3 linked regions of the Rattus norvegicus genome follow. The protein of the gene in region 3 purifies or fractionates together with the protein of the main gene of each other region. This does not show direct contact. Links are inferred from orthologs where the notes say so. Each region holds a gene or a part of one and is shown on either strand. Other genes may lie near its edges.

Evidence for each region.
Region 1: the proteins of Ints11 (region 3) and Ints6 purify together in Homo sapiens (affinity purification with mass spectrometry; 3 studies listed by BioGRID, with this or other methods). This does not show direct contact. The link is inferred for Rattus norvegicus from reciprocal best matches to the Homo sapiens genes INTS11 and INTS6.
Region 2: the proteins of Ints11 (region 3) and Ppp2r1a purify together in Homo sapiens (affinity purification with mass spectrometry; 3 studies listed by BioGRID and IntAct, with this or other methods). This does not show direct contact. The link is inferred for Rattus norvegicus from reciprocal best matches to the Homo sapiens genes INTS11 and PPP2R1A.

Annotation. Positions count from the first base shown.
Region 1 is NC_086033.1:41,112,096-41,115,741, forward strand, and holds part of Ints6 (integrator complex subunit 6), read right to left. Parts: intron 1,990-3,646; coding exon 1,627-1,989; intron 879-1,626; coding exon 785-878; intron 1-784. UniProt on the Homo sapiens protein: Component of the integrator complex, a multiprotein complex that terminates RNA polymerase II (Pol II) transcription in the promoter-proximal region of genes.
Region 2 is NC_086019.1:69,211,827-69,216,122, reverse strand, and holds the start of Ppp2r1a (serine/threonine-protein phosphatase 2A 65 kDa regulatory subunit A alpha isoform), read right to left. Parts: upstream 2,926-4,296; 5' UTR 2,925-2,925; coding exon 2,847-2,924; intron 1-2,846. UniProt on the Homo sapiens protein: The PR65 subunit of protein phosphatase 2A serves as a scaffolding molecule to coordinate the assembly of the catalytic subunit and a variable regulatory B subunit.
Region 3 is NC_086023.1:171,760,064-171,764,270, reverse strand, and holds the start of Ints11 (integrator complex subunit 11), read right to left. Parts: upstream 2,867-4,207; 5' UTR 2,760-2,866; coding exon 2,729-2,759; intron 2,711-2,728; exon of another isoform or gene 2,542-2,710; intron 612-2,541; coding exon 514-611; intron 63-513; coding exon 1-62.

The sequences.
Region 1 (3,646 bases), on a different chromosome or scaffold from region 3:
CCAACCATAAAACTGTTTTCATTGCTATCCTAACTGTAGCTTTGCTACTGTTATAACAGTCTTGGGCAACTGCTACCAAAGGGCTGTTCTACATAACCCCAAAACGGTCATGACCTAGAGGCTGAGAACTGCTGATCTAAAGCCTTCATGGGTAGCAAGGAAAAGACAGAGAAACAGTTAGTGGGTGGCTATGTTTACACTCAGATGATCATATAAGCAATACGTTTTGTCATAATATTAAAACTTAAGTCCTGAAAGAAAAAAATGTAATTATCTGAAAGGTTATACAACTATGCTTACCAATTCATTGTCTTCATTGCTACATTTTACAATACTGAATCAGTTCACACAGCGAGGCACATAATACTGGGATATTGAACCAACCCCTTTGATTACTTATCTTCTCATGTAAAAATTGACTGCATTCAACTATTACTTTTTCAGGTTATTTCTAATCACTCAATCATTATCAATGTAGAAAAGTGAAAGAAATTAAAGATTTACAGCATCACTAAAAAGCAATGGAGAAGAAAAAAAAAATCAAGAATTTAAAAGAATATAATAATTTACCAGGGAAAAGGTCCATAATTTCTCAAGGACTTATGCGCCTATTTCGGCAAACAACTTTAAATTAGCTTAAAAGAGGAAAAATAGAAGAAAAAAGTTCCACACATTTCAATGAATCAAATGCATGTAAGTATATACCCAACTGCCTTAACAAACAATCACATATGCAAACCAAAAATTATTTCATTATTATTTATCAACAAGCAAGTTTCTTTACCTGGATGCTTCCTTAATGACATTTTGTAAAAATATTAGCCTTGTTTGTAAACTGCCTTGCACATGCTTCAGTAAAGTGAAGATTCTTTCATATTCTTAAAAAAAAAGAGAAGGAAAAACAATTAACTGGCTATATAGAAAAATATTTTACATAAAAATATTACCACTCTTCAAAGCTTTCACAGACCACTGTTAACATCTATGTGCATGAAAGTATGTATCGCCAAAAATAAAAGCTTCCAAGCACTTGGTTTTTCTGTTGTTTTGTTTTTTGCTGAAGGCCCTTCCACTTTCTTACTAGCACAGCCGTGTCCGCTATATTCTGAATGGATGCCAATACTACTCACAATTCTTGTAACCAAGACAGTTCCCTTGCACTCTTGTGACAGCCTTAATGACTCTGGTTTGGGCCTAAGCACATGATCTAGGTTAGTGTCATAATTCATTCATGGTGACAGGGAGTAGAGAGGAACGTTACACACACACACAGGACATTGTTGAGAACTGAATTTGGGCTATAAAGGTATCTCCCTATCTGTTTGGGTCAGCCATTATAAAATTTCAATTCCTAGTTAGAACAGTCAGATTCTGGGTCCCTGTCACATGCATACATGCATACATCACTACATACACGCGCTGCATCTACGGAGTCTTTAGACAGGCATCCTGCTGTCTACCGCCCATACTGGAGTACCTCGAGTACCAAGGTTATTTTAGTGCTTTCCAGCTGAATATGAAATTAAACCTTAATGAATAACCTAGAATAATATGTATGCTTTTACTGAATTTGACTTGTTTTTGCCTAACTGAAGACAAAGTAACAAGTGTTGTCTCTATACATACTTCTTCCTGGTTTTCGGATCTCTTTCATTATTTGTGCTTTTAGTTCAGTGTTGACCTCTTCATGGCTTCTACAATGCATCAATTTCTTTCCTTTGTTGAGTGAAGATGCTGGTATATTCTCTTCAGCACTTTGTTCTTTACTTCTTGACTCCTCATGATTTTCTAAAAATCCACCAACAGTGAGGTCATTGTTTCCTAAATGTTCATGACCAAGGGCCTCTGTATGATTAGTTGATGGTTCCAAAAGATTGGCTGGAGAGGTTAAAAATTCAGTATCCATAGCATTTGTTGTCATGTCTGATGAAAGTTGGTCGGCAACATGATTTTCAACCACATCGTCTACTACTGAATCATTAGTGGCTTCTGAAATGAAACCAAAGAAATGGAACAAAAAGTGAGCTCTGGTATTAAAGTATAGAATAGAAATGCTAAAGAAACACAATTACTACAAATAACTAAAATTTAAACTTAAGACATTTATAACAGAGCCAATTTTAGCCTGTTTTTCTGCCTTATTTTAGCAATGTTATTAAACAAGTTTTCAGTACATACACCACTAAAATTGTCATTGTTATTTTTTGCTTAAGAGTCCTACCTACCTCATCTTAAGCCTACTTCTGTCTTTAGAAACCTGTTACTCTTTAGAGAAAAGTAAATGCTGAATGGTGTTTATTGCTCAAGATTCTGCAAAGAACACCAAATAGTGCACATTTCGGAACACACTGTCTTCTATCTATCCTTTCAGCCCATAGCCATGCAAAGTAATCTGGTGCTCACTTCAGCTCATTAGACTGGTAGACCCAAAAGTTTACTAGCTTGCCAATAAATATAAGATTCTTAGACATGACTCCTAAGTAAGACTTGTTCACCAGCCTCCAGAGCACCAGCTAAAGCCCTCGGGTTCTGTATCTCAATGTTTCTACTACCTGGTTTCTACTTCTCCCATCTCCCTCCATCATACTTTCTAAATTCTACCTACCCCATGGTTTGTAAACATTTCTTTACTGATAATTCTCCACAACTGTTTCTTAGCCTTTGTCTAAGGTTAAAGCTAAAAATCACAATAAGTTCTGCTTTAATGAAAAGCAAGCTCTCCTATTTAAAAAATAAAACAAACCACTGCCCTTCTTTTCAAACATGGAGTACAAATTGCTTCTTCATGAGTGTAAAAGTGAGACAGTTACTGATTCTTCCACCTCTTAAATGTAATTTTAAAATCTCTCATATTTAATTCTTAAAAAAAAAAAAGGTCTCATGCACTTTCGAGCAACCCTGTCACTTACCCAATCCCTTCATCACCATCTTCATCCTGAGATCAGTGCACATGCATCTGCCACCTCCTTCACTGTACACTCATTCTTAAGCCCCTCCTGATATTCTAGGGGATTCTTACAACTCAATGTGGAGTCAGCCTCAGGAGAGCCTCTCCAATGCTTCCTTTGTGTCCCAGTCTTGATTTGCATGATAACAAATTTAACAAGGACTCCAGGTAATCCTCAGCATGCTCCAGTGTGACTAAGTTCTATAGCACCAATGTCTATGCAAGTGTCATCTACCAAATATCTGACCTCAAAGAACTTCCTACTCCCACTTCACCTTCCGCACCTACAACCCAGGAGACGCAGGGGCATCCTTTCGCAATATTCCAGCTCCCTGTCTTTAATAGAGATGAACATTTACTCTATAACTCCTCTACTTTTTTCTAATAATAAAGCTCTTGTAATACATACACTTTCTTCTTTATGAGGCTTAATCCCATGCTAGGTCACTTTTACCAAAGTTCCAATGATATAGTTCTAACACCCCACACTATGGTATCTATCAAGTAAAACACCAGACTTAATGGCCAGTTTACACTGTCTGTTAGCCGTAGGCATTTAATTGGAGTGATGATAAGCGCTGGAAAAATAGGAGCCAGATCTACCACTGTAGTCTCAATTACCATCTAGGTTTGGATCTTGCACTACTTAGCAAGCAAGCCTATTACATGCCTTCTCCCTCCCCACAGATTTCCTTCATT
Region 2 (4,296 bases), on a different chromosome or scaffold from region 3:
TTTCAATGGGAAGGAACCATTATGCAAACAAACTAACATGGCTTTTATTCCTGCAAAGTTTTATTTAGTAAAGCTACTGGCATGGTTTTTACTCCAGCAAAACCTTACTTGCAAAAGCTGGCTGTAGATGGATATGGTACTACGGCTATATTTTGATGACTTGTAAACTAGTTTTTCAACATCCTTGCCTCAATTTTTTTTTTTTTTAACATGCTTGTGCTCCTCTCCTAGCTGCACTGTGGGAAATAATGGGCCAGGGTGACAACTGGTGAGTAGTAAGCAGCAGCCCTAAGGACAGTAGATGGTATCAGGGAGAAACTACCATCCCATTCATAATCTTCATGCCAGTCATAGTAGCATGTATCATCTACAGATTGTTCCCCGTATGCTCGGGTTGGTTATTCCCACAAGGCTCTGAGGTCTTCTAGAAAAACAATATTAACAGGTGAGGATGCTGCTGGAAAACTGTCCATTTGTGGACAGTTCTCTCACTCTAGTTTTGATTTTGTTCACAACGTGCATTGTTTTCTTCAGGAAGATGGCACTCTGAATGTTTGAGTAAAGTGGCAGAAAGCTGCGTAGCCCTATTGCCTATTTCAAGGCTATGCTGTCATGAGGTCACCTTCACCCAGCAAGATCTCTGACAGACTTCTGATCTCTGGAAACACATAATAAAACTTTATGTTGTTTTATATTTACTTTATAGTGACTTGTTACAGAATTCTGACAAAACTGGCCAGCTGACCTAGCTAAACAAGTTCCTTATTGTCTCTGGGTGAACATTTCATCCAACAGCTTCCTTCAACCTTAGCACTAAAAAAAATTTTTTTTTTTAAAAGAGGGACTTTTTTTGTTTCCTATGAAGGATGTCTTATATACTGCAATCATGTTTAACAGCATTCATGACTTCAACCTACTAAAAGCAGTAACAATCTCCAGCTGTGACAACCAAACCATCCCCTAGACATTACTAAACATCCTTGGAGGCAAAAAACTATAACTATAGCCATTGCATACATTCACACACACACACACACACACACACACACACACACACACACACAGAGAGAGAGAGAGACATACCCTCCTTCTGGAATTATCTTCTCCAAATTTTTAAACTTTCCATCCTGAAAGGAGCTTCCCTTGACTGGCTTAATTCCTTACTCATCTGTCTAGTATACACACTCTACCCAGAACCTAATGGCTCCTTCCAAAAGCAGGTACTATTTCAAATTTCTACAAGACTTTCCCATGCTTACTTTAATATTGTACCCTATATTTCTTATTTTCTTCTTAATATTTTCCATAGTCAACATAATACCTATTTATCTGTCACTACTCACTAAAATCCCTTAAGGCAAGTTTTGTCCTTTTGCTCCCAGCTGTCAACATCTAGAGACACTCTGATGTCCAACAAACATTTGCTGATTCACTATTTCAACATTGACAGATCTGGTTTCTTACATGTGGTAATATGCAGATTTAGTTCTGTTTGCCTGTTTCACACCTAGCCTTTGTATAGCAACCAGCCTTTTTCTTTGTTGATACAGTGTCACTATGTAGACTAGGCTAGCCTTGACACTGCTTTTGCCTCCAGAGTGCTGTGATTGCTAGCATGCACCACTATACCAGGTTCTGGTCTCCTTTATGACCCCAACAACATCCCTCATCCTTTGCATGTGTTTACAGAGCACACACACATAAATTCATACAGTATGCTCAAAACCAGATTATTCTCACTTAATAGAAGAGAAATACAGACTGCCTGAATCAATTAGCAAAAAGTGCAAGACCCAGGAGTACAAATCCAGCCTGGCTGATAATGGAACCAGAGTCAGACATAAATACATAAAACTTAGATAGGCCAGGCTCAGGAAATTGACCAAGTGCAGCATGAACAATTCTATATAAAAGGAAAAGTAGAAGGCCGTAGTGCCACAATAGCCACACCCCCAAAATAATAGCTAACATTTATAGAGCCTTTACAAACAGCCAGTTTTATTTTACTACTTTTCCTCAGCCACCCAGGGAAGCCAGGGCTATTATTAGCTGGTATTTGTAGAAAACAGAAGCCAGGGGGGATGAAATAATGTGCACACAAGGTCATCCTCAGGTGAAAGGATGCGGCCTTGAGGTCTGACCTCTTTTTCAAAACCAAAGCAAACTCAGGGGTCCTGGCTCATTTTTTTCCCGTGAACCAGAACTATCAACTCGCTTGGCAGACAGGCCTGGGACAAAGTTGGAGAACAGGTGGGTGTGTACACGTGACCTATCCCAGATAAGGCTAGGTTAAATCTCTGGAGAGCATACTTTCACAGTCTCCTTCCTCCTTCAGGAGAGATACCACAAAATGCAAGGCGGAGGTCCGTGAAGAACGGATAGAAGTCCCAGTTATCAATCCCCACTCGTTCCAGTTAAAATAAACAAAAACACTAAAAGCGATGGTAACTCCACCCAGGTCGCCAGGACCCCTGAGGGCTTCCCCTACTCAGCAGGTCACGCGCCCCCGCCGATTCCCTACAGAGAGCCATTCTGTGTCGGCCGCCAATCACCGACTGGAAGGCGGCAGCAAGACCGCCACCCAATCTCGGGCCGCCCAGGCCCAGATCCGGGGCTGCCGCGCGCACTCAGGTGGGACCCTCGAGGCTTGCCCTCCGCTTGGCTGGGCACCCAATGAAGGCTGCCATCTCATCGAACCTTGCCATCAAGAAAGATGAGACCTGAATTCTGATTGGCCGCCGCTGCTTTCCGCCACTCCCGGAGAACCCTGAGCCATCGCTCCCACATTCCGCGAAGATCCCCGTCCCCGATCTCCCCCACACACTCTAACGGAAGGATCCCCGCACCTGAACGTCCTCATTGCGCAGTTCATCTATGAGCACCGCAATGGGGTAGAGCGAATCGTCGCCGTCGGCAGCTGCCATCTTGACTCCCTGGCGTTTCTATCAGGCAGCAGCGAGCTCCGGGCGGAATCCGGGCTCGGGAGGGGCGGTGCGGGGAAAGGACGCAAAGCGGACGTGGGGGCGCCCGAGCCGCGCTACAGGGGCTGTCCCGCCGCCATTGCCGCACAAGCTCGCGTCTGTTTGGTCTGAACCAACCAAGTCCCGCCTACTTCTCATTCACCATTGGCCGGATGAATCAGATGTTTTTCCGAAGGACGAGCGGAAGCGGAAGTTAAGTATCTTAGTGACCAGAATTGTGCCCGCCTGCGTCGCTGCTGGCAACCACGGGAACAAGCAGGTCTAGCTGCCAATGAGAGTCGAGAATGGGAGGTGGCGATGATGATCTCTTGGGGAGACTCGAAGACTCAAACCCGAGCCTTGGGAACTGTGCGTGACGTAATGAAGAACAGGCTGGTCTGGTTGTGCTTCTGCGGCTGTTATATCGGTCTCTAAAGAAGGAACTCCTAAGTAGGGAGATTTGCCTTGCTCAGTTTCTAGAACGCGGCCCTGGGGCTGGTGGCGTTCAAGGGCTGGTGGTGTTAAAGGCTTTGTTAAAGTCCCCTCTTACCCTGAAGAAATAGAGCAGCCAAGGCGACCTCTTACTTTATCCTGCTGGGGAGTTTCTAGGTAGCTAGTAAGAAATGAGCCAGGTCGAAAGTATTTGAGGATGGACCCCTGCCGCATAATGAGCTTGGACGCCAAACCTCTTATATGGCTAATATAAAAGTATCACAATCCTTTTTCCTTAAGAATGAAAATACGAAAACGTAGCAGGGTTGTTAAAGCGTGACTGCTTTTATTCTTGATTTTTGTTTTCTTCTTTTTCGATCTCCCTTCATCTTCCTCCTTCCCCTTACCTGCATTCCTCCCTTACTTCCTCTTCCTCTCCAATCAGAGAGAAAATTAAGAAGGAAACACCCTCACAGAGAGTGGAAACAAAGAAAAAAACACCCACTGTCACAGAGAGTGGGCATTCGTAATCAGTGATACATATTTGAGTATCATGTATCCCTGGCCCTGAATGGCAAACACATGGTCTTGTGATAAAGAACAAAAGGCTTAACCATGTGTGAAAGTGCACATGCTTTCAATTCTGAAACTCAGGAAGCAAAAACTTGTTCTACATAGTTATACCCAGGCCAGTCAGAGCTATATGGTGTAACCCTCAGAAGAGAGCCATACCATTGCCCCATCCCATTAGAGTTAATCCAAATGGTCTGTCTGTTCTCGAAACTTCAGTTTATACTCTACCTCAATATGGGTTTGGCACAGTGGTACCATTGTTCATTCTTTGTGAGTGTACTTTCTTTGTAATCTCTCTGTCCATTCTTCATTTTCTTCTATTACTGTACTT
Region 3 (4,207 bases):
CAGTCCAGAAAGTCAGTCAGACGGCCACTCTGGGTGATGTAAGAAAAGTCAGGAAAGCGCCTCTGAGGAGGAGACAAGAGAAAAGTTGGAATGCCTCAGGCTACCCAGGGTCTTCTGAAAGTGAGACTGGTGCACCCCAGGGAGTGACCCCAGCAAAGGGTCAGAGAACCCCTACATTGGTGAGCGTCACCTAGGCCACTGCCTGTTTATAACCTCACGGAAAGGCCAAGTGACTAGCTGGCCTCACAAACTACTGAGCAATTACCTAAGCCCAAAGGGTCTAATCATGACCAGCCTCAAGAATCCTTAAGAGGCCTATCTCAGCTGGACCCTAATTTTTAAGTGCTGTGTTCAAGGCCACACATCCCCACTCTGCATGGGTATAGCTGTCCAGGCATGCTCCTACTGCCTCGTTTAGCCCCTAAGACCACAGGATTCACGTGGCTGGACAGAAAGAACATGACTATCGATGGACTATCGCTGCCCTCTGGACCACCCATCCGCAGTACTCACGTCATCATTGTAGCCCATGTGCATCCCACAGTCCAACATGACATTCTTGCCCGAAATGGAGACTAAGATACAGCTGCGGCCTACATCCTGGCCAGCCCCTACACAAAGAGAAGGGCAAGTGAGAAACAAGGCCTCAGCTCCTCCCTCTTTTCCCCAAGTTTCCTTCCCTCACTACTGCTAGGGCTGACCTACACCACCCACTTACTGCCTTCACATGCAGGTTAGGGGAATGCACCACGGGGAGACAAGGTGCTGTGCTAGGGCCACATGCCCTCCCCTCACCAGGCTTTTACCGCACATCTCCAACTGGCTGTGGTTCCCAACACACTGAACAGAAACAGGCCAGTGCACTGTAGAACACCACTGCTGTTTCCCCAGGCCTTAGACAAATTACTCCTGACCATCTACTGGGGCTGCAAGCCAGTGAGGTTCCCTCCCCTGAGATTTCTTCTGAAGAGGCTGAGGCCTGGCTCCTGAGTTCTAGTGTTGAACGGTGCCACAATCATGTAGCCTTAGGCCAGCCATAAAGAAACATGACTGACCAATAACTGCAACGCAGATAGCCCACTTTGGTCAGTGGGCAGCACAGACCCCATATCACTGAACCCCTAGCTCAGCCTCAATGGGGGCTCCTTCCATGCTCGGGATGATGAAGCAGACACCCCAGCTGTTCAGCCCAAGATACTGACCACACGGGAGACAGCTATCTCCCCCATTTAGTATCTGTTATCTCTCCTGGGATCTGGATCCAGAAGGAGAGACACAGCCCAAGCCTCAACAGCAGTCTGAAAACAACACAGCCTTGTTGCCATCATGGATCCTATAGTTTCCACCTGCCCACTGCAGGCACCAACCACTGTCTTCAGTACACAAACATCATGGTGACCAGCCATGGCCCAGTCTGCTTTCCTTATGAAGCCAGCCACAATGAGGTGGAGTAGCCGTCGGCCTCAGAGTCTTCTGCGGGCCTGCTCCTATATCCTCAAGATGTGTGCTCCCAGAGAGAAAGCTTTTAGTATCCTTCCCCATGGTACCTTTAGCCCTGAAGCTGTGCTAGGACCTGAGGCCCTTAAAGCATTTATAGACAGGGAATGGCTGCGCCTTTACAAGGGTTACCTCACATCACAGGCACCCATAACCACAGGACTACCAAGAATGGTGCCAAAGTGTACATTTTTGAATTACAAAGCCCAGTTCTTGGGCACTAGCAAATGTTCTTCCCAAAGAGACTTACAACTCCAGGGGAAAAATGACGAAGAGAAAACAAAACTGACAAGAAAGCAAAGGATGCTACATTTCTGCATGGAGCAGAATTCACCGTAGGGGGACGAGACAATTAGACACTGAGTGCATTACATGGAGATTGAATAACTGTGCCCAAAAGTTCAGAACTGTGGCAGAAAACAAAACTTTCCCAGTGGGGGCAGGCGTTGGGGAGCCAGATCAATGAATGTGCTTGATATCGTAAGCTAATTAGTGTTTAGACTAGATGGTGGAGGTAGTCAGAACTTGCTTCTGCTAAGGCCCTGTGATTCAGTGAGTTGAGAAGAGTCTCAGTTCTAGCCAAGATAACCCAGAGACCCAGGTCATATGAATAAGAAGGTGCTTCCAACACCCTGCACACGTGTAGGAAGGAAAATGCAGGGTCATTTGGGAAGTTCTGAAATCCCAGATTTCAAACGGTTGTTTTCTCCTTCACAACCATACTATGCTATTGGGGCTTTTAGACGTCTAGATTTATATGCTCTATGATGATTTTAAAAATTCAGGATAGACCAGACACAAAGTCTGATCTGAGGGGTGACAGCAAGCAACCTGAACATGAGAAGCACTGGGAGAAGTGGGAGGTGGGGTGGGCAGAAATGAGAAAGAAGCCCATACAGAGGGGTCTTGAAACAGCAGTCCAAATACAGGACGAGCTCTGTGCTGGATTCAACACCAGTGACAGGTGACACCTGTCCAAGATTCATTTCACCTCACAACCACCTTAAGCAGCCGAGGTAGAGAAGCTGGGCCTCCATAACTCACATCGAGCTCTAGGACCAGGAATCAAACCCAAAGCTCTTCGATCCCCGTGCCAGGCAGAGAAAAGGAAGCACTAGCTCCGAAACGTTCTACTCCGGCTTCCGCTCCTTGGGATGAACAGCTGATAGACGGCTATGGAGATGAAGGGACTCGCCGGACGCCGCAGAAGATGCTTAGGACTCGGACTCACCCAAGGGAGTGACCCTAATTTCAGGCATCATCGAGGAGGCAGGCAGTCTCAAACCACGTTTCCACAGCTCGCGCGCACCGCCCGCAGGAAAGCCTTAGACCTCGCGCGCAATCAAACCTGACACCCAGCCACCGCGACTCCTACAACCGCGCGCAGGCGCAACCGCCAAGACGCCCCCTTCCGGTCCTCGCGCCGGAAACGCAGGCCGATATGTCGAGTTCTAATTGGATGATCAGCAACCAATTGGGATGGCGTGGCAGCAAAGGGCGGGGCAGAGGCTGGGCTTTAGGTGGCAGCTCAAGGTTTCTTCCCAACCGCAGGCTGCGAGCTTGGGGGAAAGCATAGGGATGGGAGCTCTTACCTGACAGTGAACTAGGCAGCAGAGCCATGCCTCTGTAGACCACCGGAACGGAGGGCAAAGATTCGTCACCCACAGCAGCCTAATTATAGCTTTGATCAACCCCCCCCATCACTGACCTTCCCTGCACCCTTTGCCCTCCGCGGGAGTAAAGAACCACCACTCACCCCCCACCGGAACCCGTCTCAGGTGAGATTTGCAGACTTCTTTGCACCACCCTGGCTCACTGCTACGCCTAGGTGTATGTGCTGTGTGCCAGCTTGTGGGCCTTCGGCCGGCTGTCCATCCTGTTTAGAGGTGTTCTGCATCACCTTCCGGGAGCTGGGGAGCTGCCCTCCCTTCCTGTTCTTTCCGGGTTTCCACTGACCATTCTAAGAAGCTACTTGGCTTCTGGCTCAGGCTCTGGGCAGGAAAGCCTGGCTGCGGGATTGTTAGGTGGCCAGAAATGAACTGGCGCGGGGTGGGGGGCAGCATAGAGACGATTTACCCACTGGACAGCCAACAGGCCCTGAGAGAAGGGTGTATCACAAGTTTCTGGGCGTCGCCATCTTTCTGAGGCCCAGGCAGGGCTGTCACTGACACCTAAGTACAAGGTGAGCCCATCTCCTAAGTCTGGAACTTGCAATGGGCACCCAGTGCAACCTATGGGACTCTATCACCACTCCATGGACCGGGAGGGCATGCAGACCACATACCCAGAGCTGAAGGACTGAGGCATAGGACTGTGTGAAGGAAAGAAAAAACTTGCACACAGATGTTGCACACTGGATAGGGATGGGTTTTTGAAGGCCTGGTGGTACAGAGGGTTAGGTCAGGGATCCAGTACTAAGGGACACAAGAATCTCCAGAACTGGTAGTAAGTGTCGGACATAAATGTAATGCAGCTACATCCCACAGGGTTGTTCCTGGACACCAAGGCAAGGCTGTTAAGATAGCAGGAAAGGTATATCCATTCAATATTTGAGCACAAAAGGAACCTGGTGGCACAAGCTTGTAGTTCTAGCTACTCAGAAAGCAGGAAGATTGAAAGTAAAAGGCCTAGTCTGACATGGTGGCACACACCTTTAATCCCAGCATTTGGGAAACAGGCAGGCAGATCTGGGTTCATTTACAGAGTGAAC